7 linked regions of the Macaca fascicularis genome follow. The protein of the gene in region 2 binds, or shares a complex with, the protein of the main gene of each other region. Links are inferred from orthologs where the notes say so. Each region holds a gene or a part of one and is shown on either strand. Other genes may lie near its edges.

Region 1 (4,131 bases), on a different chromosome or scaffold from region 2:
AAAGCAACCAGAAGGAGGAAGGATGGGAAAGAGGAAAGGAAGAAAGGAGGAAAAGAAGGGAGAAAAAGATTGAAAGTACTTGATTTTAGATGCAAGTAATGAAAAAATTAACTAGAAACTAAAAAATTCTAATTCTTATTCAGATCGAAGTAAGGTTCCGCTGAGATTCATCATGATTCATCATTCACGACAGGGAAGTTTCCTGCTTAAGATGAGTGAAAACCTTGAGTAAGAGTATGTAATGGAGAAGGAAAGCAGGGAACACACACACACAGTTTCAACTGCAATCTGAAAAACAGAAAATGAAAAATAAATTATCAACTAATGACAATTTCCCCAGAAAATCGAAGAGCTAAGAAGAGAGGAAAACAACACCTAGTATTTATTGAATGCAAGAGTTTTTAATAAAAACAATGTAAAAAGAAACTGAGTAGGGACGTACTAACTATATCACAGGAAAACCTTCGCTGGGAGACGTCGAAAAGTAGAAAAAGAACGCCCAAGACAACCAACCTCGAATATGGACTATTTACTCAACATAAAGTTACTGCTATTACAGCCTATTCGAGATGAAGGCTCCATCCGTAATTCATGGCTGCTCACTATGATGATGATGATTATTACTATTATTTGTGGGTGCACATTGTATGTATAGATCAATTACATTAGAATGACGATTAGACGGACTGCAAACTACAATATGTAAGTGGCTATTGACACTATTTGTGCATCTTTTAATCTGGGAAATGCATATTCACTCCACAGTCTCAGTATAAACCATTTCAAAATTACACGTAAGCCAACCAGGTGTCTCTCTTATATTTTAGGAGTGAATAATGAGGATAAATTCCAGCAGAGAGTTCTGGTTTAAGTAACCCAAATTCCCCGAACTTTGCTGATTATCCTAGCGTTTAGAACCTTTGCTATTTGCCTGGCACTTCTTGAAACCCATGACTCACAAACGCCGGGGCATGGAATCACAGCAAAGAACAGGTGAAAAGTTGTTCCTAGTTGTGTTATGCAGGCGCACACAACTCCCGCCATTCTCTGTGCAAAAATCAACAAATAAACAGAGGCACCGCATTTCGGATTCTGTTACGCACTGTTTGCAATGGCGCCTGGTATTGGTAGTTTCTACGAGGGGAGCCGCCAGCGCGCCAACCCTTGCTCAGCAGGAAGAAAACTACATTTCCCACAAAGGCACGGGGGCGAACACCGGCCGGCTTACGTCATTCCTTTAACCAACCAATAGCAGTTCCGGGCGGCAGTGAGGCAAGCGCCGTCAGGCGCCAAAGTGGTTTTTTTTTTTTTCTCTTTTTTTTTTTTTTGCCGGAGTCGAGCGGGTGCTGCTAGCGGAGGCGCCATATTGGAAGGGACAAAACTCCGGCGACAGCGAGTGACACAAATAAACCCCTGGACCCCCTTGTTCCCTCAGCTCTAAGGGCCGCGATGTTGTACCTAGAAGACTATCTGGAAAGTGAGTGCGCGGCGCTGGCGGCGGCCGCCGGTGGGACCTGCGGGAGGGCAAGAGCGCGAGTGGACGGGCAGCGAGATGGCGGGAGGGAGGGGGCGGCGGGGGATGTTTCTCTCTCACGGTAACTGGCAGCCTCGTTGTGGGCTGCCGGCCCCCTCGACCCCCCTGACGCACGCGCGCAGTGACGTAAGCGCGTATTTCGCCGTTGGCCCCGCCCCTCTGACGGACTCTCCCTTTGACAGTGATTGAGCAGCTTCCTATGGATCTGCGGGACCGCTTCACGGAAATGCGCGAGATGGACCTGCAGGTGCAGAGTAAGTCGGCGCGTCTGCTCTTCATGTTGGCTGCGCGCGTTCAGTGCCAGACTTGCTTTTCATCACTGCTAGCGCCTAATGCTCTTTCACTGTCCTCTGGCTCACTCCGCTAGTGCATAAGGAGTTGTCAAAAAGAACTGGCAGCCCTGAATCTCGCCTTTTCTTTCCCTCCCATGCTACTTTTTTCTGGCTTTTGCAAGAGGAGGCGGCATTGGGACAGGTGTATTCCTTTCTAGAATGTAGGATTGTGCAAAAAATATTTCTCTACCGTCATTGAGATAGTTATCTATGTTTCAATGCACGTCAGCATAATAAATGTTGAGATGTTGTCTTGAGCCTTTTCGTATCGAACTTAGATTTCAGCATTTATACTTATTTTAAAGTTCATCCTATTCAGTTTTTCAAGAGTGGAGAGCATAGAAGCACAGGTTATATATAGCTCTTTAGAGACCCTGGCGAATGTCAAATTTTGAAAACTTAGTTACACATTATAAGATACATTTTAAATTGTAACAGAATCGTCATTTTCTTGGTTAAAATGAGTGACAGAAATTAGATTTCACTGTAAAGTTTCATATGTGCTGTACTAAAAATTTTAGCAGTTAGTGAACATTTATTTTTCTTTCAGTGATAGCTTGGTAGTCTCTGTGACTTTTTCCCCAAATTAACTTTACTCTTTCGTAGAGCAAGGACTATAAATAGGTGGCTTAGGGACCACTTGCTGCAGCTAAGAACCTGTCCTTTTCACTGCCCCTGTCTTCTCTGCCCGTGACCACACACCCACTTCTATACCCTTTGTTTATGCGTATATGTTTCCAGTAAGTTTCAGGTGGCACATAATAAAAAGTGGTGGCATGGAAGCCACCTTCTGTTCAGTGGATTGTGGTATGAAGTATGAATTGTGTGTGTGGTTCTCCAGCTATCTCACAAATTCATTTTAATTTTAGTGTAGTCGAAATGCTAAAGATTTGCTGAAGTATTTTCTGCAGGACTGAGCATAGACATGGATGTCAGATAGATCTGAGTTTGTTTTAGGGCTTTACTAATTTACTCATTGACTCTGACTGTATTACCACTTGTGTGGGGCTTTCATTGTCTGTAAAAAGAGAATCATCTAAGGATTTAAAATATTACAGATGGATTAGAATTTATAGTATCTGATACAAAGTAGGCATTAAATAAAGGGTAACTTATTTTAAATTTATTTTTATATTTTGTTTAAAATTTTAAATTCTCATAATTTGGGCTTACAGTATACATATTACAGGGTTTTTAAACGTGCATTTCTTTACAGTAACGAATTTTCTGAAGTTAATAGATATTATGGATTAACAGAACAGTGTGCCAAATAAATTCAGAAATGCTTATTTAAACAAAGGAAGATACTGAAAATTAACCATAGTACTTCACAGAGTCTTTAAAAGGCTATTGTGGACTGAAAATCTCCAAAAGAAGTATGCTATGAAAAGATTTTTCTCAACTTACGTAACAACAGAATCCTTTTTATTAATTTTTCCTTTTTTTTAAGCAGACATCCAATGAGATGATTAGTCTTAGCACTTAATTTGGGGAAAATTTATCTAGAATTAATGTTTAAATGATTGCACCTACTACTTTCAGTTGGGATATGACATGATGAGATGTTTAATGCCTTATACCAAATCTTTTTATCACTTTTTCTTGTTGAAAGAAATGTGAGGATTATCTAATGGTGTTTTCATTGTGTTTTGGTACATTTGTCTGATTAACACCTATAGCTTTTGACCCCAAGGCTGTATTGCTCAAAAATTATAGGATAGAGCCGATCTACTTTGTTGACTCTACTTTGGCTATTGGAAAAAATTTTGAAATAACAAAAACAAAAATAATCTGTCAATAAGGAAAATTGTAACTTTTTAAAGGAAGGTAATTGAGGCTTTATATATTTACATAATCAAAGCATAACATATTTAAGTTACTGGCAAAGTGAAAGAGTATATATTGTCAGATTTTTTTCCCTCCCTAAATCAAACCATGTATATTTAGTATATGAATTTGGTCATTTAATATGATTTTTTTATTATGTCATAGATGCAATGGATCAACTAGAACAAAGAGTCAGTGAATTCTTTATGAACGCAAAGAAAAATAAACCTGAATGGAGAGAAGAACAAATGGCATCCATCAAAAAAGTATGTGCGACACTTTGGATAATTTATCAAGAAATATTGGGACCCTCTGAAAAAGATATTTCAAAATTAAATAGTGATCTGGATATCAAAATAAGGGAATATTATCAATGACTCTTTAGAATGTAAATAATTTAGTGTGGTTTAGAGCTTCAGATAGCGATTTTTAGTCATT
Region 2 (3,500 bases):
ACTTTGAGGAAACTGAAAACAAGGGAATACATGAACTGGTGGACATCAGGGAGCCCAGTGCAGAGATCAAGGTGGAACCTGCAGAACCAGAATCAGTCATTTCAGGGGCTGAAATAGTAGCTGGAGTTGTTCCAGCCACAAGTATGGAGCCACCAGAACTCAGGAGTCAGGACTTAGATGAGGAACCGGGAAGTACTGCAACTGGAGAGATTGTTGAAGCAGATGTTGCCATTGGGAAAGGCGATGAGACTCCACTTACAAATGTGAAGACAGAGGTACTTAATAAAGATCAGGGGCTGGGGAGATGGAGGGTTATACCTTAAGTAAGAAGTGATAGCTTAGGTTTTTTGGTTTTCCAGTTGCATTCCTGAGTTCTGACATGTTTGATGGTCCAAAGCCCATAGGCTGTGATTAGTGTTATATATACTTATTCCTGTTAAGGTGACCATTGGAGTCACATTACATGAATAGGACTTAGAATTTCTTCTATGGTCTCATTATCATTGAAGAATAAAGTTGTGTGAGCTATAGTGATTTACCAGTACTTAGGGTGTTTTTTCTTTTCTGGTTTTCAGGCATCCCCTGAAAGCATGTTGTCTCCATCACATGGCTCAAATCCCATTGAAGATCCTTTAGAAGCAGAGACTCAGCACAAGTTCGAAATGTCAGGTAAATAAAGTCCTCTTTAACTAACTTGAAATCATTTGCTTTGGCTTCTGAGGGATTGTGGGTTGTGGGCAAGTAGAGGAGGTAGAACAGGTCAGCATGGAAAGGAGAGCTGCAGGGGATTATGGTCCATAGGAAGGGGAAGGCTAAGGTGGAAAAATCTTCAGGTAGTCTTTCTCTCCTCTGCAGACTCATTGAAAGAAGAATCAGGGACTATTTTTGGAAGCCAGATAAAGGTATTTCAGACTTTTCTTTATTCCTCTTGCCATGTGATTAGATTTCCCTATAGCACTACTTTTTAATGAATTTCAGTAAAGTCGCATTTTTATTCTCTGATAAGAGACTGGTATGGAGTTGCGTGGGGAAAAGCTGCAGTAGACAGGCATAATGGGAGTACTGTAGCAACAGGTGCCTCCCATATGAAACAGCTTGTGAATATCACAGTCCTTAAGAAGCCTTGATACACTTAGAGTGATTTGGAGTGAATAAGGATACCAGAACTAAGGAGAACATACAGGAATCCAGTTTATTAATTAGACTATCCAAAGAAAATCATCCAAAGTTTTCTTTTTAGAATTATTAAAGCAGTAGTAACAGAGACTTAAAGAATGCGATGTGAGCTTGCTCCATCAGATGAGACACAAAATAAAAATTATTTTTGATAACTTTGTATCCAGGGTCAGAGTTACTCTTGAACAAGGGGAAAGAAGGAACGCCTCTTAGCTTAGTCTTAAGTAAGTAGCTTTTTTTTTCTTTCTTTTTAAAAGATCCTGGGTATTATTCTTTGTCCAGGTTCTAAATTACTTAAGTCAGTGTCTTTAAGTAGATGGTAGTATAAGTGATAGACAGCTAAGTCAGGAAACAGCGTGAGGTCATTTCTAGAACTAATTCTAACCCAAAAGACAGAGCATGTTTAATGATGCTTTGCTGGATAGCTTTGCTTGCATTTATTGACTGGAGCATACTGTGTCTAAGGATGCCCCAGGTGAGGATGAGGAGGAAGATGGTGTCAGTGAAGCGGCCAGCCTAGAGGAGCCTAAGGAAGAGGATCAAGGAGAAGGTTATTTGTCAGAAATGGATAATGAACCTCCTGTGAGCGAGAGTGATGATGGCTTCAGCATACACAATGCTACACTGCAGTCACACACGCTGGCAGACTCCATCCCCAGCAGCCCTGCTTCTTCACAGTTGTGAGTATCTGAGATTCTTCCTTTGAGGCTAAGGCAGTGAAGGTGAGAAGGAGAGGATCTTTTCTTCCCCTCCCCTCCCCTCCCCTCCCCTCCCCTCCCCTCCCCTCCCCTCCCCTCCCCTCCTCTCTTCTCTCCTTCTTTCTTTCTTTCCTTCCTTCCTTTGTTGTTCTCACTCACCCATGCTGGAGGGCAGTGGCGCGATCTCAGCTCACTGCAACCTCCACTTCTCAGGCCCAAGCAATCCTTTCACCTCAGCCTCCTTAGTAGCTGGGACTACTGGCCTGCACCACCACACCCTACTAATTAAAAAAATTTTTTTTAGTAGAGACCAAGTTTTGCCATTTTACCCAGGCTGTTCTCAAACTCCTGAGCTCAACAGTTGCCTCGGCCTCCCAAAGTGCTGAGATTACAGGCATGAGCCACCATACGTGGTCTTTTTCTTTATTTTTAAATTTTTGTTTTTAAAAGATGTTCTTTTAAGAGACAGAATCTCCCTATGTGGTCCAGTCTGGTCTTGAACTCCTGACCTCAAGCAGTCTTCTTGCCTTGACATCCCAAAGCACTAGAATTAGAGGCATGAGCCACAATGCCTGGCCTGATCTTTTCTTTAGTGTTTCCCTTTTTTGGCCTGGAATAAACAGTTGACAAAAATTATTAGGGCTGGGCATGGTGGCTCACACCTGTAATCCCAACACTTTAGGAGGCTAAGGCAGGAGGATCGCTGGAACCCAGGACTTCGAGACCAGCCTGGGCAACACAGTGAGACCCTATCTCTACAAAAAAATTAAAAAATTAGCTGGGCATGGTGGTATGCACCTACAGTCCCAGCTACTTGGGAGGCTGAGGTGAGAGGATTGAGTCTGGGAGGTTGAGGGTGCAGTGAACATGATCACGCCACTGCACTCCAGCCTGGGGGACAGAGTGAGACCCTGTCTCTAAAAAAAAGAGATAATTTTTTATATATATATATATATTTTTTAACTTGTGCCTAGTGAAATTGCTGTATCTCTGTTTCAGCTCTGTCTGTAGCGAGGATCAGGAAGCTATTCAGGCACAGAAAATTTGGAAGAAAGCCATCATGCTTGTATGGAGAGCTGCAGCTAATCATAGGTGAGTGGGCTTTATCAGTCAGTAGGTTCATTTTCTCTTACTCTTCATTGTTGGTGACTGGAAAAAAGTCTGAGTAGGCTTCTGTGGAACTGCTGGTATTGGTTCTTACTATCTTCAGCTACTTAGAGTAAGTTCTCTCCCTGTTCTTCTGGAGAATGTCAGTAATTGCACCTTATTCCTTTTGGACAGGTATGCCAATGTCTTCCTGCAGCCTGTTACAGATGACATAGCACCTGGCTACCACAGCATTGTGCAGAGGTGAGCCATGATCCACTCAGCATGGTAACTTGCCTGAATTATAAGTTGTCCAGTCTTAGTGAAAGTTTTGCTTTAGATAGAAAGTTTAAAGCAAGTAAATTTATGGTTTTGCTATAAGGGGCACTAAGTACTAAACTGATGATTCCAGTGGCTGGATCACCACTGATAGTCTAAAAGAATAAATCCTCACCGGGAGTGGTGGCTCACGCCTGTAATCCCAGCACTTTGAGGGTGCTGAGGTGGGTGAATCACTTGAGCCCAGGAATTCAAAACTAG
Region 3 (4,219 bases), on a different chromosome or scaffold from region 2:
ATCCTCACTATACAGCAAACTTAGCTTTTCTGATGGTGACCTAGAAGGTCAAACAAAAGGACAGGAAAGGACATAAAATAAAAAGATATGAGATATGGCTTTCTTCTACATCAGCCAATGCAATTTCATCACACACAAAGGACACCAAAGCTGATAAATAATGTACAAGTATTTCTTTTTCCTTTCTTGTGGCTACATTTTCAAATTTAACTTATTGTATATTTATATAACTTCTGACAATTTTTTTAACTTTTCCTTAAAGATAATTTCAAATGGATGAAATAAAAGAATAGTATTACAAACCTACACGAATCCATCATCCAGCTTTCAACAATTACCAACTGAAGGCCATCTTGTTTCATCTATAACCCCACCCACTGCTCCCCCCCACCCCCGACTTTTTCAAGCTCACGGGAATATCTGACTTCTGTATTTTATTATACAAAAATTTAAACGTATACCAAGGAAAGCAGATTAATATACGGAACCCACTGCCTATCACTCAGCAAAAACTATTATTAATTTAGGGTCAATTTTGTTTCATCTATACCCCTCCCCATTTCCCCCTACCGCTTAGATTATTTTGAAGCAAATCCTAGTCATTAATGTATTTAGAAGCCAATCCCAGACATTATATTATTTAATCCGTAAATATTTTCGTATATGTCTCTACAAAAAAGGACAATTTGAAAACATAATCACAATACTACTGTGACGCCTAAAAAAATTGACATCAATTCCTTAAAAAACATCAAATATCGAATCCATGTTCCAATTTTCCCGATGCGTCTTAAACATATTTTTACAGTTGGTGTGTTCGATTCAGGATCCAAACAAGGCCTACTCATCGCATGTGGTTCATCTCCAGCTCGCTCTCGTTCTCCATCTCTTTCTTTCTCGCACTCCACCCCCCCACCTTTTATTTAACTTTTCAACATGGGAAAATTACAATCTCTGCAATTTTGAGGCAATTCCCAAAGAGCAAATTATTTCATTGGTAAAAATTGATATATCTCTTTTATCTTTAATTTATTCTAGGAAAGAAGTTGATGGCAGAAAGGGCACTACAATTAGCGAATTTATATAATTTATAATTTTTCTCATTCTATTACGTGTATTATTTATCTCCATAACAATAGCTAATATCTTCAGGGGCCAGGCTTCATATTACGTGCCTTATACGCACCATTATACAGTACACGTCTCTGAGGTAGATACTATTATTATCACCATTTTACAAACATGGAAACCGAGACACAGAAAGAACAGGAGCCTTGCCCAAGCTGGGCGTTGGCGAGCAGGAATCTGAATCCAGCTCTGACCGATTGTGAAGGAACTAGCTAATCCCGTCTATACCCGACGAAAAGAGGAAATCATCGACCCTTTCTCCCCACCCCCACCCCGAAACCTGAAACGAGAATCCAGATCTTCCCAGCAGACGACGTGTGATCACTGCCGTTCCTCCAACCGCCATAGTAAAGCCAGGTTTCTCTGGCAACTGATATCCATAGGCAGACACGTCACCCTGGAGGAGGGCGTATGCCCTTCAGCCAATCACAATCGTCTTGTCTAAGTTTTAGAATGTTCCATAACCAAATGATTGGACAACCACCCCCACGTCAGCAATGACACTTCGCCGCAGTAAAGGCGGGTGCTAGCAACCTGCTTCTTCACTGTTAAGGCCTACAGCAAACCAATCCTCTTCCTCCGTCAGTGCGCGTTCCGGCCAATGACGTTCGCCCTCTTAGGTTTTTAGCCCGCCCTCCAAAAGCGTGACAGCCGTTGGGTCATAAGTCTATAGGGCAGAATGTTCACGTGGCCTATTTCACGACCCAGAGTTCCTCTGACCAGAAGGTTTTTTTTTTTTTCCTTTTCCTTTTTTTTTTTTTTTTAATTTTTTTCCTGCAGGGAGGCATTATGGGTTTGTGTTTCCCCCCAGCCCCCCACTGGGAGAGGAAGTGTCTACGTGGCCTGCGGAAATAGGCGGAAATGAGCTAAGGTTCCCGCGAGTGGGGAAGCGCGAGGTCAAATCTGGAGCCACGCCCCCAGGCCTGTGGCGCAACTCCCCGAACATGGAAAAAAAAGGCGCAGTGGGGGGTTCTGCTGTGTTTGCGAGTTAGGGTCGTGAGTGCAACGGGCGCAAGGCATTAAGGCCAGTGTGTTAGTGCGCGGGCAGGCTCGAGTGCCCCTGGGGTTGCTGTGTGAGCGGCCCTCGTGGCGCTGGAGGTGATGTGTTTGCGCAGGCGTGCGCCCCTGGCGTCTGGACTGGTGAGAGCCACGGCGCGCGCCCGCGTGCGTGATTGGGGTGGGAGTTGCGGGGAGGGGTTAGCTACTGCGCGCAGGTTATCTATTTCTGTATTTTGTTTGAAAATGTTCTAATGAAAAGGAAAATAAATAATTAAGGCAAGGCGACAATAACAGAGATAAAGGGGCACTGTCAGAAATATTTTGGCTTTCCCTGATTTAAATACTCCTCTGTGCCAAAATCCGGTCGTAAACCACAGCCCTCCAATGATTCAGAGCCAAAGCCTTCCATCGTCACATTAGCAACTCCAAAGGGAGACTTCTTTCAAGTTGTCTAGTATCCTCCTCCCTCCCCTCTTCCACACCTCCCCCCTCCCTTCAAGGTTGCGTGCAGTTCTCTTGGCACAAATACAATTTTCCTATGAGAATATCTATCTATGACAGCCTTCCCCTCCGTTAGAGACTCCGGATTTTTATGGTGACTAGGGCGCTCTTACCTTTGCGTTCTGATCTCCAAGCAAGCACACTGACCTTCTTCAGGCAAATACGCACTGTTAATTTTCCAGAAAGTTCTGTGGGTAAGGTTTATACCTCTCGAGTTCGCCACTAGATGCCGCCAAATCCCAGCAAAGGATTGGCTGTGTGGTCCCTGGGATTCTGGGATTTTGTTTCCCTCCCCCCTCCCCTTTCTTGATTTGCTGAACGCTAATATCTAAGGCATCATTGATATCGTTCATTCCTAGGAAAAAATAAAATCAGCTTCTGTGAATAGCACTAGTAGGCAGGGAACTGTGACCCAAGATCCAAATAATTTTACTCATTTCTTTCCTTTTCTCCTTGGGTGGGGGGGCGGGGGGGAAGGCCCCTCTCCATCCCTCGCTTCTTTTGTCCTTGCCTTGTTTAATCAAAGAGTTAATGAATGACCCAAGCACTGATGCTGAAGATCCTAACCCTTTTTCCTCAACTTTTCAAATGCTCGCAACTCACCCAAACTGAAAATACAGATAGCTGTTACTTTAGTAAAGAGATAAGAACTCATCAGTAAAACTTGGACCCTGGTATTGAAAACTGATTTTCCAAGGCCGGGCGCGGTGGCTCAAGCCTGTAATCCCAGCACTTTGGGAGGCCGAGGCGGGCGGATCACAAGGTCAGGAGATCGAGACCACAGTGAAACCCCGTCTCTACTAAAAATACAAAAAAATTAGCCGGGCGCGGTGGCGGGCGCCTGTAGTCCTAGCTACTCAGGAGGCTGAGGCAGGAGAATGGCGTGAACCCGGGAGGCGGAGCTTGCAGTGAGCCGAGATCGCGCCACTGCACTCCAGCCTGGGCAACAGCGTGAGACTCCGTCTCAAAAAAAAAAAAAAAGAAAACTGATTTTCCTTTTCTCTTGAAATTTGTATCAGATATGTGTGTTTGCACCCTATTTTCTGTAGTGGTATTGGTAGATTTTATTGTGTCTTTGGAGTGAGAGAAAGAGACTTAATTGTTAACCTCATTCCACCACTTACTAGTCTCAGTACCCTGGGCAAATGATTTATGTTCTGTGATCCTCAGTTTTTTGTATGCTTTCTATATTTTAGATGCTGTGTTATATCCTTCATGTCGATTTTTTTTTAAATTTATCACCAAGTCCTTATTAGATGAGCAGTACTAGATCAAAGTCAAACAACAAAAATCATACCCCTTTCAATTATCTATCTTATATACTTGTACACAAGAGGGATTTTTTTAGAGCAGTGGTTCACAAGATGTGTTTCCTGGATGTACCAGAAACATCAGCATCACCTGAAAAATTGTCAGAAATTCACATTCTCAGGTCCCACCTCAAACTTAATGAATCAGAAGTTCGCACGGTGGGGTTTGGTAATCTGTGTTATTACAAACTATCCCAGTGATTCCAGCACACACTGAAGTTTGAGAACCACTGCTTTGGAGAGTAGAAATGCAATGCATATTTTTGTATACACCACTAGAG
Region 4 (3,500 bases), on a different chromosome or scaffold from region 2:
CAAAGTGCTGGGATTACAGACATAAACCACTGTGCCCAGTCTCCAATCTTTTTTCAAAATCAGAGCAATAATTTTCAGCATGTCACTTTTTCTTTTCTTTTTCTTTTTCTTTTTTTTTTTTTAGACAGAGTTTCGCTCTTGTTGCCCAGGCTGGAGTGCAATGGTGCAATCTTGGCTCACCGCAACCTCCCCCTCCCGGGTTCAAGCGATTCTCCTACCTCGTGTCACTTTTTCTTTTCCTTCCCTCATACCAGGAAAGGGGGCAAATAATAAAATGACTCAAAAAATAATCAAGAAGAAAGGAAAAAGAATAAAAGGTTAAAAAAAAAAAACCTGGAAATTTTAAAACCAGACAGTCAACTCCTGAAGTTGATGATAAAATAAATTTCTCATTGATTTAAAATTTCATCTGAATATTTTAGTCTAAAAGAAACGAAATCAAGGCCGGGCGCGGTGGCTCAAGCCTGTAATCCCAGCACTTTGGGAGGCCGAGACGGGCGGATCACGAGGTCAGGAGATCGAGACCATCCTGGCTAACACAATGAAACCCCGTCTCCACTAAAAATACAAAAAAAATTAGCCGGGCGTGGTGGCGGCGCCTGTAGTCCCAGCTACTCGGGAGGCTGAGGCAGGAGAATGGCGGGAACCCGGGAGGCGGAGCTTGCAGTGAGCCGAGATCGCGCCACTGCACTCCAGCCTGGGCGACAGAGCGAGACTCCGCCTCAAAAAAAAAAAAAAAAAAGGAAACGAAATCAGTAACTGCCTAGGTCATAACATACAAAAAATTCGTAAGTTTTGAGTTAAATAGAAATTAATAGACACAAACAAATCTCAGAAAATTTAACCAAAAAAAGCAAGTCCAGAGACAAAACCGTTCCACTTACCAGAGCTTCTACTGTACTGAGATCTTTTATTTTGTTTCCACTCAGATTGAGGTAGGTAAGATTTGGACATTTCTCTGCCAGGACTTCCAAGCCTCCAGAAATTATGTTATCACTAAGCTCCAACTATACATTCAACATAGGAAGAAAACAAAGAATGGTAAAGGTATCATATCAAAGCTTTTTTTTTTTTGAAACGAAGTATCACTCTGTTACTCAGGCTGGAGTGCAGTGGTACAATCTCCACTCACTGTAACCTCCGCCTCCTGGGTTCAAGCAAATTCTCCTGCCTCAGCCTCCCAAGCAGCTGGGATTACAGGCACCCGCCACCACACCCAGCTAGTTTTTGTATTTTTAGTAGAGATGGGGTTTCACCATGTTGGCCAGGCTGGTCTCGAACTCCTGACCTCAGGTGATCCACCCGCGTCAGCCTCCTAAAGTGCTGGGATTACAGGCGTGAGCCACCACACCTGGCATATCAAAGATTTTTAAAGTATATCAAAGATTTTTAAAGTATATCAATTTGAAGAAAAAAAAACCTGTCATTCTCTCTGGCTTCAAGAAACTATCACTACAGATCATTAATTTCCAAATTCCTTTCTACATCTGCCAAATAATGTATTAGAACACCTACATAATGGGCTCTTAACCCAGCTTGGATTCTAGTTGTACTACATTTGGATTTCATGATGTAGAGAAAAATATTTGGTATATATTAAATACAAATTCATATTATAAGGCAATTCCACTATTAGATTTAAATTTCTAGGCCAGGCACAGAGGCTAACTCCTCTAATCCCAGCACTGTGGGAAGCTGAGGCAGGAGGATGCCTGGAGCCCAGGAATTTGAAATCAGTCTGGACAACATGGTGAAACCCTGTCTCTGTAAAAAATACAAAAATTAGCCAGGTGTGGTGGCGCATGCCTGTAGCCTCAGCTACTTGGGAGGCTGAAGTGGGAGAATGCTTGAGCCCCAGAGGCAGAGGTTGCAATGAGCCAAGATCACACCACGGCACTCCAGCCTGGGTGACAGAGTAAGACCCTGTCTTAAAAATAAGTAAGTAAATAAATTTATAAAAGCAGTATTAGAGCTGATTCTCAAAATCCTATATAACTTTTTCTTATCTCTAGAAACTTAAAAACTTCTAATTAGCAAGCAGAATGGTATTCCATTTGGCCAAACACTAGACATAATAGCCATGACATTTAAATCATGATGCTTCACGTAAATGCCAACTTACTTTTCGAAGTTTATTTAAGCTGGGAAGCCGGGCCAGTGAACTTAGTTCCACATTAGCCATACTCAGAAATTCTAGTTCTTTGAAAGTATCATTCAGGCCTTCAATTTCCCCATTTACACACAGGCAATTATCAAGGACTAACTCTGTCACCTGTAAGAGGGAAAACATTAATTAATGATTCTTTAGTTTGTAATCTGTTTAGGTAGAGACCTGGGTCTTGACACTCTGAAAATGTAACTATTAAAACCACCAATCTCCAGTTTGATTGCCCATCAGTTAAAACAAAACACAACACAACAAAAACCCCAGCAATCCCCTTACACAGATCCTTTTCATTTCCCCCCAAAACTGATATACAATCTAAAGTCATCACTATAATCTTTTAAATTTCTTTTTTCCTTTTTTTTCCTTCTTTTTTTTTTTGAGATGGAGTCTTGCTCTGTTACCCAGGCTGGAGTGCAATGGCACCATCTCGGCTCACTGCAACCTCCAACTCCTGGGTCCAAGCAATTCTCCTGTCTCAGCCTCTCAAGTAGCTGGGATTACAGGTGCATGTCACCACTCCCGACTAATTTTTTTGTATTTTTAGTAGAAACAGGGTTTCGCCATGTTGGCCAGGCTGGTCCTGAACTCCTGACCTCAGGTGATCCTCCCCCTCGGCCTCCCAAAGTGCTAGGATTACAGGGATGAGCCACCTCGCCTGGCCATTCTTTCAATTTAAACTTGGACTAAAGTTCAATGCCTGCTTCAAATCACTGATACATAAGAAACAAACGTTGAAGAAGTTCCCATGTGAAAACTGTTTCTGACCCTGATAAGGAGGACTCTCAACATCAGAGAATATATTTATGCAAGGAGGGGGTACCTGAGCTACCAGGAAAAGATTCGAGTGAGCTGCCCTAAAACCTACAAAGAGCGCCAGGCGCAGGGGCTCACGCCTGTCATCCCAGCACTTTGGAAAGCTGAGGCAGGTGGATCACTTGAGGTTAGGAGTTCAAAATAAGCCTGGCCAACACAGTGAAACCCTGTCCCTACTAAAAACACAAAACTCAGCCAGGCGTGATGGTGGGCACCTGTAATCCCAGCTGCTTGGGAGGCTGAGACAGGAGAATCACTTGAACCCGGGCGGCAGAGGTTGCAGTGAGCCAAGGCCGCACCCTTGCACTCCACCTTGGGCAACAGATCGAGACTCTATCTCAAAAAAAAAAACCTACAAAGAGAAGAAACTCTTTAATCATTTTTTCAGTTTAAAACCCCTTCTCTTTGGTTGATAAATACCATCATAACTCAAAAAAACCTCCTTACCCTTTATGAGGAAATGTTAGAAAGCTCCTCTGGGAACAGCCCAGAGGGTGTTATTGGTTCTCACATCCAGGCC
Region 5 (3,500 bases), on a different chromosome or scaffold from region 2:
GCTGTACTTCACATTCTCTACTCAGGCCATCTAACTGCCTCCAGAGCTCTCTGAAATACCCCTTGTACATACTGTTACCCCTCCCCTATATCTTCGGTGGCTCTCCGTTATCCATAGTAGCAGTACTCAGCTGTTTTTCTGTCCCAACACATCTGAGGAATGACACATATTTCTCTCAGTAACTTTAGTTTACATAAACAATGATTATCAATGGTCGGACAAATAAGGAGATGGAGGGGATTGAGAATTATTGGCCTGCAGGTTAAAATTGTGTTTATTAGTGTGACATTTAAGTTTCTCCATAAATGGAATGCAGGAATGCAAACTTCTTTTCTTTTTTTTTTTTTTGAGACGGAGTCTCGCTCTGCCGCCCAGGCTGGAGTGCAGTGGCGCGATATCAGCTCACTGCAAGCTCCACCTCCCGGGTTCACGCCATTCTCCTGCCTCAGCCTCCTGAGTAGCTGGGACTACAGGCATCTGCCACCACGCTTGGCTATTTTTTTCTATTTTTAGTAGAGATGGGGTTTCACCGTGTTAGCCAGGATGGTCTCGATCTCCTGACCTCATGATCCACCCGCCTCGGCCTCCCAAAGTGCAGGGATTACAGGCATGAGCCACTGCGCCCGGCCGCAACCTTCTTTTCAAATCATATAGTCCTACAGTGCAATCAGTGTTGGAAGGAGGCAGTGCTGGAGCGAAACACAGTTGGCTAACAAGGTTTCTTGATAGAGAAAAGTTTTACTTAGATCTAAATCTTTATTCCATAAACATGCTGTACCAAACAGAAATTACCATTTCTGCGCCTTTGTTTCTGCTATTTCATCGCCCATGATTCCTTCTTCCCTCTTGACTGTCTAAATACTAACAGTGTTTTCAACCATAGTTTAACTCCTCTTCATGCCTTTTTTTTTTTTTTGAGATAGTGTCTCGCCCTGTCGCCCAGGCTGGAGTGCAGTGGCACTATCTCAGCTCACTGCAACCTATGCCTCCTGGGTTCAGGTGATTCTCCTGCCTCAGCCTCCCAAGTAGCTGGGACTACAGGTGTGCATCACCATGCCCAGCTAATTTTTGTATTTTTAATAGAGCCAGGGTTTCACCATGTTGGCCAGGCTGATCTCGAACTCTTGGCCTCAAGTGATCTGCCCACCTCAGCCACCCAAAATGCTGGGATTACAGGCATGAGCCACCGTGCCTGGCCAAGACCCACATCTCAAAAAAAAAAAAAAAAAGTAAGATTATGTTATCCCCTTTACTGTAAGCCCCTGAAAGTAGAGACCAAACCATATCCTTTTGTTTCCCAGTACTTAACACAGTGTGTTGCAGGTAAAGCGCTATCAATTAATGTTGGAAGGAGGTGGTACTGGAGCCAAAGGCCATTAGCTAGAAAGTTTTCTTGCTTGAAGAAAATGAAGGACTGGATTAGGAAGGAGAGTAGGGCAACCCTTATCAAGAAAGTTGAGAGATTCTGTTCTTCCTGAAGGGTCATTAAGGCTTCCATTGCCAGCCAACCCTCATCTCCCTGTGTCCTTAGGAATCCGGAGATGATGAGTATCAAGGGGACCAGTCAGATACAGAGGACGAAGTGGACTCTGACTTTGATATTGATGAAGGGGATGAACCATCCAGCGATGGAGAAGCAGAAGAGCCAAGAAGGAAGCGCCGAGTAGTCACCAAGGCCTATAAGGTACAGGAGGAGTCCTAGTTTTCTTGGATTTCCTCAATTCCTATTCCCTCTTTCATCAGGTCCCAGTACTCCCTTTGCCACTTCCATTTCTGGCAATGCTAGTTTTCTCTCATTGAGATCCTCATATTTCTCCTTACTTCTTCTGTTCCCTGGTATCTGATTCCAATCTGTCCTCAGGAGCCTCTCAAGAGCTTAAGGCCTCGAAAGGTCAACACCCCGGCTGGTAGCTCTCAAAAGGCCCGAGAAGAGAAGGCACTACTGCCACTAGAACTACAAGATGACGGCTCTGACAGTGAGTAGGGATGTTTGGGTCAATTGGGAAAATTGGAATATGATGATACAATATCATATCAGTGTTAAATTTACTGATGTTGCTGGGTGCAGTGGCTCACGCCTATAATCCCATCACTTTGGGAGGCCAAGGCGGGTGGATCACCTGAGGTCAGGAGTTCGAGACCAGCCTGGCCAAGATGGTGAAATTCCATCTCTACTAAAAATACAAAAATTAGGCAGGTGTGGTGGTGGGCCCCTGTAATCCCAGCTACTTGGGAGGCTTAGGCAGGAGAATTGCTTGAACCTGGGAGGCAGGGGTTACAGTGAGCCAAGACCACACCATTGCACTGCAGCCTGGGCAACAAGAGCAAAACTCCGTCTCAAAAAAAGAAAAAGAAAAAGAAAAAAATTTACTGATGTTGATAACTTACTATGGATAGGAAAATCCTCATTCTTAGGAAATACACACTGAAATATTTAGGGATAAAGGCCATGATGTTTACAACTTTAGTTATCTAATTTAGATCATTCAGAAAAAAACCACACATACAAAATGCAAAAGGGCCAAAATATTACCAATAGGTGATGGGGTAAAAGATACATGAGTATTCATTGTACTATTCTTGCAACTTTGTAGGTTTGAAATTATTTTGAGGCCAGGCATGGTGGCTCACGCCTGTAATCCCAGCATTTTGGGAGGCCGAGGCAGGTGGATCTTGAGGTCAGGAGTTTGAGACCATCCTGGCTAACATGGTGAAACCCCATCTCTACTACAAATACAAAAAATTAGCTGGACATGGTGGCATGTGTCTGTAGTCCCAGCTGCTCGGGAATCTGAGGCAGGAGAATCGTTTGAACCCGGGAGGCAGAGGTTGGAGTGAGCCGAGATTGTGCCACTGCACTCCAACCTGGGCGACAGAGCGAGATTCTATCTCAAAAAAAAAAAAAAAAAAAAAAAAAGAAAGGATTTCTGGCCGGGCGCAGTGGCTCACGCCCATAATGCCAGCACTTTCGGAGGCCAAGGCGGGCAGATCACGAGGTCAGGAGATCGAGACCATCCTGGCTAACACAGTGAAACCCCGTCTCTACTAAAAACACGAAAAAATTAGCCGGGCATGGTGGCGGATGCCTGTAATCCCAGCTACTCGGGAGGCTGAGGCAGGAGAATGGCGTGAACGTGGGAGGCGGAGCTTGCAGTGAGCTGAGATTGTGCCACTGCACTCCAGCCTGGGTGACAGAGCGAGACTCTGTCTCAAAAAAAAAAAGGAAATTATTTCCAAACACAAAATTTAAAAATAAATAAATAAAATAGGTGGACATGGGGGCTGGGCGTGGTGGCTCACGCCTGTAATCCCAGCACTTTGGGAGGCCAAGGCGGGCAGATCACGAGGTCAGGAGATCGAGACCATCCTGGCTAACACGGTGAAACCCCGTCTCTACTAAAAATACAAAAAATTAGCCGGGCGTGGTGGCGGGTGCCTATAGTCCCAGCTACTCAGGAGGCTGAGGCAGGAGAATGGCGTGAACCCGGGAGGCGGAGCTT
Region 6 (3,062 bases), on a different chromosome or scaffold from region 2:
ACCATCCCTGGCCCGGATGCCAAAGTGCGTGGGGCCCTAACTTGGCCCAGTCTTGCGGCAGCGGTGAGTAGATGAGGAGTTCCGTCTTGTCCCCGGGTGGATGGGCTGTGGAGCACAATTGGGCAGACGAAGCCTGGAGGATTCTACTGGGTAGTGCGTGGGAAGCGTAGCTCCCCGACCACTCTTCCTAGCCATGTCTAGAAGGGGTTATTCTGAACAGCTGGGTCCTTCCCCGGGTCTGGGGGCCAGCCTGCCGCCCTGCCTTACAAGTCCAACAGTAGAGGCGACTCCTCTTGCAGATTCACGCACAGGTGCCCGAGGACTGAGAACCAGAGCTTGAAATTCAAAGCTGCGATCCCTTCACAGCAGTAAACCAGCTCTTTGGAACCACTGATTCCATCACCCCAATAAAGGAGCTCTTTACAGCACCTGTGAGTCCGGGCACCTTAGAGCCCCTAAGCCAGCATGGACCCCTCTCCCCCAAGAACCTTGCATGGCTCTGGCATATAGAAACAATTTATTGCCGTGGGCAATGGGGATAAGAGAAGCCAGAATTTTTTGCAGCCAGCACCCACCCCACCCCCAACTTCTACTTTACAAAAGAAATTTTTACAACCACCAGCCCTCTGTACAGAGCTCCCCCACCCCCCATCTCACTGTACACAGCTGCCTGGCTCCCTCTGGTCCCTGGTTCAGAGCAGGCCTGGGCCTGTGGCCAGCTGACCTTGGAGTTAGCCTGAGCCCTGAGCTCGCCTTGGTGCCGGGCACCAATGGGCCCTGCCAGGCCTGTCCCTTCCTTTTCGAGCTTTTCAGCCCCATCTCCCTTAGAGTGCTTTGTGGGAGCTGCAGTGAGGGCGGGGTGGGCTATCAGCCCCAGTCCTGCTGTCTTAGCACTGCAGTGGGCAGTGCCTGGTCACCACTTCCCCCTCTTGCTCCAGTCCTTGGGAGTGAAGTGCAGACACTTGGAGTCGATCCGCAGGAGCCGCTTGAGCATAGCCCGCTCATGGCCATCCACGATGTCCTCTGACAGTGTGAGGATGTACTGGCCCTGGGCAGAGGAGATGGGTTCAGCAAGTGGCCAGTGCACAGGGGCCTGCACTCTGCATCCCACACACCTGTCTCCACCCTGCCTGCCTCCCTACCTTGTAGTAGTTGATGAGATTGAGGTACTGCAGAGTGGAGATGACATCCTCCTTCTTGATGCTGGTGATTTCACTGATCTCACTGTAGGAGAGCAAAGGTCAGGTCCCCTGAGGACCTTCATCTGTCCCCAGGAGCCCCAGGAGAGAGTGAGAAAGCCCAGGAACAGACAGGCCATGCCATGTACCCCCAGGTAGGCAGCGCCAGGCTCACTTGATGGTGATCTGTGGCCTCTCCCCGCTCTCTGACTTCAGCCCCATCAGGATCTCCAGGATGGTCTGGGACCAGTAGCTTCGATAGGATAGGAGGCCCAGGTCTGAGAGGGGCTTCTCAGGGGTCCCTGTTTTCCCTTCCACTTTGGAGAGTTCATAGCCTAAAGCAATGGAGCAGGAGAGGGTGAGTAAGAGGTCATAGATGAACATAAGCAACATTGAAAAACACAGGTCGCCAAGGCAGGCTGCCTAGTTCCCATCATGGCCCTGCCACTTGGCAGTTCTGTGGCCTCCGCCTCTCTGCGCCTCAGTTCCCTCAGGAAGAACTAACGAGTATTCACTCTTCCCCTGGGAGTTGAGCACAGTGGAGGGCATGAGAGCACTGAGAGGAGCAGCTGCAGTCAACCACGAGGGTGATCAGAGGCCAGTGAAGGCTTATGGGCAGGGGATGCAGGGAAAATGGCTCAGGGGAAGAAAGTGCCTCCAATTTTCCTTTGCCATCCCAGGCTCCATGTCTGGGCATGTAAGGAAGGAAGTGGGGACAGATTCCTGTCTCTAATCCAGGCCTGAGAATGCTTGAATTCTCAGTCAAATCAGTCCTCCTAGCTGGGATCTTGGGAGTGTCAGCTGCTGTTAAGACCTGAGTGGCCTGACTGGGTGGTTGTGAGGATGCAAGGAGAAAAGGTGCACCAAAGTGCTTCCCAAGTTGGGGAGACCATTCCTGAGAGCCAGGTGACTGACCCCCACCATGGCTGTTTCCCTCCAACTCCTGCTGATAGCTGCGCACTGGGAGGCAGTCCCCAGTGAGATCCTGACCCTGCACAGCCCTCAGTGGCTTCACATCTCTTGGGCAGTGTCTTCATTCTCCCCACCAGGGACCTGGGATGTTTGTGACTTCTAGAAGCCCTTCCTCACCCTCACAATGGACCTTAGCCCCTTGGTAGTCCCACCCACATCCCATCTCCATTGCAGTCTGAGCTCCAAGACTGAGTTTCTTCAAGCATCCACTTGTGCTACCAGGCTGAGAAGTTCTGAGGATGTGACCCCATCTGGGCATCACTTAACCAATAAATTTCTCGAATGGACCATAACCTTGATCAAGTAAAGCCTCTGTGTCTTCACCAGACAAACAGCTAGAACTTCCTCTTCTTTTCTCAGGTCAGAGCTTAGTTATTCCAAGTGAGTGGTGAGATAGAATGCGGGGTGATGGGGAAGAGGCTGAGGAGGAGAAGGAGCCTCAGGGTTGGGGAGGGCACTGAAGAGCTCATGTGTGATGAAGGTCAGAGTCCCTTCTGGCTTTAAGAGACTGACCTCACTGGACACGAGGAGCAAGGGAGAATTCCATGCTTACGTGTATCTGTTGACAGCATTTTGGACACCTGCCTGCACGGCTCAGGGGACAACTGGGGACATTAACCACTGGTCCTTGCCCAAGGACTTGTATCATGGGACACCGGTTACCAGATACATGAGCACCAGCGGCTCACTAACATGCCCATGGCCCCAGGCAGGAGCATGTAAGTCAGATTTGGGGAAAGCTGAGTGGCACTTAGAACCCTGGCCAAGGAGCAAACTGTGGGGCTGAGAACCTACCCCAGATAAGCAGGGCAGTCAGCCTGAATGGAAAGAACTCTGGGAGAGTGCCACTGTTATTTCTGGCTGGCTCCCCTAGAGACCGGGCTGCACAGCCATGGTTGAGAATCACGGTAG
Region 7 (4,221 bases), on a different chromosome or scaffold from region 2:
ATATGTGTGTGTATGCTATATCCATCCCATTTCCACTTCAGTTACCAAAGCACACTGCCCTTAATAGAACCTAGAAGATATTCTTCAGATGCTACTTTTTCAGATGGAGTCTCACTGTCACCCAGGCTGCAGTGCAATGGCGCAATCTCAGCTCACTGCAACCTCCGCCTCCCAGGATCAAGTGAGTCTCCTGCCTCAGCCTCACGAGTAGCTCAGACTACAGGCACATGCCACCATACCTGGCTAATTTTTGTATTTTTAGTAGAGACAGGATTTTGTTATGATGGCCAGGCTGGTCTCGAACTCCTGACCTCAGGTGATCCACTTGCCTTGGCCTCCCAAAGTGCTGGGATTACAGGTGTGAGCCACTGCGCCCAGCCCAGATGCTATATTTCTAAACAGATAAAAAGCCTAGCCAGGCGCGGTGGCTCATGCCTGTAATCCCAGCACTTTTGGAGGCCGAGGCGGGTGGATCACCTGAGGTCAGGAGTTCAAGACCAGCCTGGTCAACAAGGTGAAACCCTGTCTCTACTAAATATACAAAAATTAGCCGAGCATGGTGGTGGGCGCCTGTAATCATGGCTACTCACGAGGCTGAAGCAGGAGAATCACTTGAACCCGGGAGGCAGAGGTGGCAGTGAGCCGAGATCGCACCATTGCACTCCAGCCTGGGCAACAAGAGCGAAACTTCATCTCAAACAAAAACAAAAACAAAAACAAAAAAACCTACTATGATCTTTCCATACAACCTTGTCATATAATCCTCAGCACTGAAGCTCTTTGGAAAACTCAAGGTAGAAGAGACTTTACAAACCTTGGATATGTGCTTTTATTTACAGACCAGGACCTCTTCCATCTATTCTCCCTCAGTTTCCACTCCAACTTCTCTCAGGTGAGATAAGCTTGAATTCTAACATTTAAAAAGAATTGGAAGGGTCTTTAAATGATCACCTAGTCTAACTCTCATTTTTCAGGTTACTGATGTGACCAGAATCACACAAGAACCTGGTAGCTGAGGTGGGTCTTAAGCATACAACATCAGTTAAGAGCATGGACTCTGGGATTAAATACATAGACTTGAGTTAAAATACTCTCCCACTTACCAGATGAGTAACCTTGGACCTACTTACTTGACCTCTATGAACCAGAATTTCCTCACTTGAACAGAGTTCATACTAGTCAATGGCACACATGTTAAAGGGTGTAGGGGTGAAGTGTAGTGATGCCTGCAATTCACCTTGAAATGTAAAAGTGGATTGGGAGAGGCACACATGGAAAGATATATGATAAAGCAGCATAGTAAAATGTTAATCATAGAATTTAGGTACACAGGTACTTACTATACAAGTCTTTCAACTTTTTTTGTATGTCTGAAAACTGTCATACTAACGCAGGGAAGGGACAACTAATTCGTTGGATATGACAAGGCAATGGACACACAGCTACTTAGCACAGTGCTTGGCACATGGAAAGCACTCAACCAATGTTAGCTACTTGCAGTAATAGCTGCTTAGTAAGACAGGGTCAAACACTTCCTTTTTGGAAAGATGATGCTCAAAATGGAAACCCGAGGTTTTTCTTTTGAGCCCTTTCTATTTAGAAAAATCAGGCTAAGAGGCAGTAGCTTAACTTTGTATTAAGTGAAGATTTTTGTACAAGCTAAGGCTCTGCAAAGGCCAAGGGGCATGGCTGTGACCTCAGACAACAGCAGGCAGAGAGAGTGGCTATGTCATCATAGAGCACTGATTTGGGAGTCAGAAATACATGTGAGCGCAAATCCCCGCTTTACCATTACTAAAACGAGTGTCAAGTATATGGTGAAGTGCCCTCTCCCCAACTCAATATTTTCACCTGCCAAAAACCAATAATGTATGTGAAAGTACTTGGCATCACTAGCACTCAGAAAAAGGAGATTTAATTGGAATGGTCAAAAAGGATGCTTGGAGGGATAAATAAACCAGATTGCTCTTCTCCCTAATTCCCACTTCTCTCCCTCAGCTCCCGGGTCCTGGGAACCAAAACGAGCTTTTAAAGTTTAGTCAATTCCCTACTTTAAACCGTCCCACGGCCTGCCAGTGCGTTCACAATAAAATCCAATTTCCTTACCGTGGCCGACAAAGTTCTGCAGTAACTAACCCCACCAAGATAATCATTTTTGTTTATTGATGTACACGTTTATCGTCTCTCACTACACTAAAATGTAACCTCCTATCTTATCTCCCGCTGTATCCCGGGAAATAAGTGTCGCGAATAGAGCTCAGCATGGATTAAGGGGACGGGGTTGTGTGGGTTTCCATTAGTACTTGTCCATGAGTTGAAGCAAACCGTCAACTGGCCCCAGTGGGTGGTCACTAGTTTTCCTGGGGCGGCCCCTCACCCAGCTCCAGGGCGGCGCCCCTCCCCGAGCCCCTGGCCTATTTTCACTTCCCTGAGGCAACTATGGCGGGAGACCCCTGGCGCGCGCATCCCGACCCGAGCCACCGACTTCAGCAGCTCTCTCGCCGCAGCAGCCCTGCTCGGAGCCCCCAACTCCCTGGTCCGCTGGCCACACCTCTCGCGCGTTCTCCTGGCCCACGAGCCCTGAGGCCGCCTGCTTGGCCAAGCCGCTCTCGTCCAGCCCCAGCCCTTTCACGTGGCTGTGGGAAGCGATGCGCTGCGTTTTCGTGGTGCTCTTCACCTCCTCAATTTTCATTTTGCGGACGCCGGGAGCTAAAACCAGCGTGGAAAACCAGCAGATAGGACAGTGCGCCCAGCGCCCGAGTTACCATGCGGCCGTTACTAGGGCAATTTGCAAAGGCCCGCCTAGGTTGGCCTTCCATTGGTGGAAGCGGGAACGCCTCCGCTCTCCATAGGCTCACGGCTGCGCCCATCGCGGCTGCTGCTGGAGCTCCAGTCACTCACTTCCGGCTGTGTCTCTGGGTTGGCTTCCCCCGCAGCCGGCGCTTCCTGCCCAGGCTGGGGTCGGTAGCACAGTGGGACCACGCCCCGGATTTGATTTCGGGCTGGGGCGTTGCACGAGGTAGTGGCCCCCGGGTACCACTCCTAATCCTTCCGTCCTATCCATTATCACGTTTGAACGTCATACTCTTACGCGAAGCTCAAGTTATTATTTCCGTTTTGGAAATAGAAGAACTGAGGTTCAGAGCTTAAACTGCAATTGGTTACTAACCAATGTTTTCTGACTCCCAGACCTTTGCATCTCGTCTGGAAAGGCCCAGCGCAACCCACCACTCCTTCCGTGGAATTGTCTTCCCCTGCTTCTAATCTCCATCCTCCGCCGAGAGATAAGGTTCCTGCTAAGTTCAGTTCAGTTGACTGTAAATAACATTTTGCAGTTTTCAAAACTCTACAGCCCTGTAAGGTAGTGTAATTACGAATGCAGCTACAGACAAGCAGAAAGAGGCCCATCCGCCCAAGAAAGCACCACAAAGAATCAGAACTAGAAATCTTCAGGCTTCAAAACCTATATAATAATGCTCATACTGTCCCATTATTTCAGCTGAGACAATCAGCCAGCAAATTGTCCCTTCAGGTTTCATAATGATATTCGCACAACCTGCACCACAATTGTACTTGCCATCCATCCATCCATCCATCCATTTAACAAACACGAGCCAGACACCACAATGCACTGGGGATACAGGGATAAAAGTCTTGATGAGCTTACTCCTTGCTTAGAAAACTTGTAACATGAGATGTGGTGAGACAGGTACACCCAGGTGGCAAGAAGACCAGAGCAGAAGCCCCAGGAACAGCCTGGAGAGCCAGGGAAAGCACCATGAAGGTGATGTTGCCTTGGCTGAATTCTGACAAATGGGCGAGATTTCCTCAGAAGCAAATGGTATGACACCATTTTTACAGAAGAAGATACTAACATCCAGAGGAAGGGAAGGACTTGCCCAGAGTGCAGGAGAGTTTATATTAGAATTGAGACAGACCTGAAATCACACTTCCTTGTACATCTTGATTCTAAGTTTTGAATCTAGGTTTCTATATTTTTTTTCTTTTCTTTTGAATCTAGGCTTCTAGTGATTTGCATAATTACTGGGTCAATGTTTGTCTCTCCCAGTAAACTGCAGGCCTTTTGAGGGTGTAGACCACATTTGATTGTTTACCATTTTAACCTAAGTGCCTGGCACACAGCCTAAAACACAACTCACAATTAAGGCTTCTCATGAATTCAATTAATGTTCTAGACCACACACAAACACATACACTTGA

The links.
Region 1: BRD8 (region 2) and ING3 share a complex: the UniProt entries of both Homo sapiens proteins name them as parts of the SWR1-like complex. The link is inferred for Macaca fascicularis from reciprocal best matches to the Homo sapiens genes BRD8 and ING3.
Region 3: BRD8 (region 2) and MORF4L2 share a complex: the UniProt entries of both Homo sapiens proteins name them as parts of the nuA4 histone acetyltransferase complex. The link is inferred for Macaca fascicularis from reciprocal best matches to the Homo sapiens genes BRD8 and MORF4L2.
Region 4: BRD8 (region 2) and ANP32E share a complex: the UniProt entries of both Homo sapiens proteins name them as parts of the SWR1-like complex. The link is inferred for Macaca fascicularis from reciprocal best matches to the Homo sapiens genes BRD8 and ANP32E.
Region 5: BRD8 (region 2) and VPS72 share a complex: the UniProt entries of both Homo sapiens proteins name them as parts of the nuA4-related complex. The link is inferred for Macaca fascicularis from reciprocal best matches to the Homo sapiens genes BRD8 and VPS72.
Region 6: BRD8 (region 2) and KAT5 share a complex: the UniProt entries of both Homo sapiens proteins name them as parts of the SWR1-like complex. The link is inferred for Macaca fascicularis from reciprocal best matches to the Homo sapiens genes BRD8 and KAT5.
Region 7: BRD8 (region 2) and RUVBL1 share a complex: the UniProt entries of both Homo sapiens proteins name them as parts of the nuA4-related complex. The link is inferred for Macaca fascicularis from reciprocal best matches to the Homo sapiens genes BRD8 and RUVBL1.

What each region holds. Positions count from the first base shown.
Region 1 is NC_088377.1:162,563,519-162,567,649, forward strand, and holds the start of ING3 (inhibitor of growth protein 3), read left to right. Parts: upstream 1-1,331; 5' UTR 1,332-1,449; coding exon 1,450-1,477; intron 1,478-1,716; coding exon 1,717-1,788; intron 1,789-3,858; coding exon 3,859-3,959; intron 3,960-4,131. UniProt on the Homo sapiens protein: Component of the NuA4 histone acetyltransferase (HAT) complex which is involved in transcriptional activation of select genes principally by acetylation of nucleosomal histones H4 and H2A.
Region 2 is NC_088380.1:144,652,194-144,655,693, reverse strand, and holds part of BRD8 (bromodomain-containing protein 8), read left to right. Parts: coding exon 1-275; intron 276-575; coding exon 576-669; intron 670-855; coding exon 856-902; intron 903-1,641; coding exon 1,642-1,856; intron 1,857-2,873; coding exon 2,874-2,966; intron 2,967-3,155; coding exon 3,156-3,224; intron 3,225-3,500. UniProt on the Homo sapiens protein: May act as a coactivator during transcriptional activation by hormone-activated nuclear receptors (NR). Isoform 2 stimulates transcriptional activation by AR/DHTR, ESR1/NR3A1, RXRA/NR2B1 and THRB/ERBA2.
Region 3 is NC_088395.1:110,058,189-110,062,407, forward strand, and holds the start of MORF4L2 (mortality factor 4-like protein 2), read right to left. Parts: upstream 2,801-4,219; 5' UTR 2,742-2,800; intron 2,269-2,741; exon of another isoform or gene 2,254-2,268; intron 1,478-2,253; exon of another isoform or gene 1,409-1,477; intron 41-1,408; 5' UTR 1-40. UniProt on the Homo sapiens protein: Component of the NuA4 histone acetyltransferase complex which is involved in transcriptional activation of select genes principally by acetylation of nucleosomal histone H4 and H2A.
Region 4 is NC_088375.1:111,032,109-111,035,608, reverse strand, and holds part of ANP32E (acidic leucine-rich nuclear phosphoprotein 32 family member E), read right to left. Parts: intron 2,273-3,500; coding exon 2,123-2,272; intron 1,008-2,122; coding exon 885-1,007; intron 1-884. UniProt on the Homo sapiens protein: Histone chaperone that specifically mediates the genome-wide removal of histone H2A.Z/H2AZ1 from the nucleosome: removes H2A.Z/H2AZ1 from its normal sites of deposition, especially from enhancer and insulator regions.
Region 5 is NC_088375.1:110,032,689-110,036,188, forward strand, and holds part of VPS72 (vacuolar protein sorting-associated protein 72 homolog), read left to right. Parts: intron 1-1,531; coding exon 1,532-1,684; intron 1,685-1,861; coding exon 1,862-1,976; intron 1,977-3,500. UniProt on the Homo sapiens protein: Deposition-and-exchange histone chaperone specific for H2AZ1, specifically chaperones H2AZ1 and deposits it into nucleosomes.
Region 6 is NC_088388.1:8,650,866-8,653,927, forward strand, and holds the end of KAT5 (histone acetyltransferase KAT5), read right to left. Parts: intron 2,444-3,062; exon of another isoform or gene 2,343-2,443; coding exon of another isoform or gene 2,325-2,342; exon of another isoform or gene 1,514-2,324; coding exon 1,354-1,513; exon of another isoform or gene 1,225-1,353; coding exon 1,143-1,224; exon of another isoform or gene 1,049-1,142; coding exon 914-1,048; 3' UTR 501-913; downstream 1-500. Other genes in the region: RNASEH2C (ribonuclease H2 subunit C), read left to right, coding at 1-63. UniProt on the Homo sapiens protein: Catalytic subunit of the NuA4 histone acetyltransferase complex, a multiprotein complex involved in transcriptional activation of select genes principally by acetylation of nucleosomal histones H2A and H4.
Region 7 is NC_088376.1:155,323,096-155,327,316, reverse strand, and holds the start of RUVBL1 (ruvB-like 1), read right to left. Parts: upstream 2,801-4,221; 5' UTR 2,693-2,800; coding exon 2,552-2,692; intron 1-2,551. UniProt on the Homo sapiens protein: Possesses single-stranded DNA-stimulated ATPase and ATP-dependent DNA helicase (3' to 5') activity; hexamerization is thought to be critical for ATP hydrolysis and adjacent subunits in the ring-like structure contribute to the ATPase activity.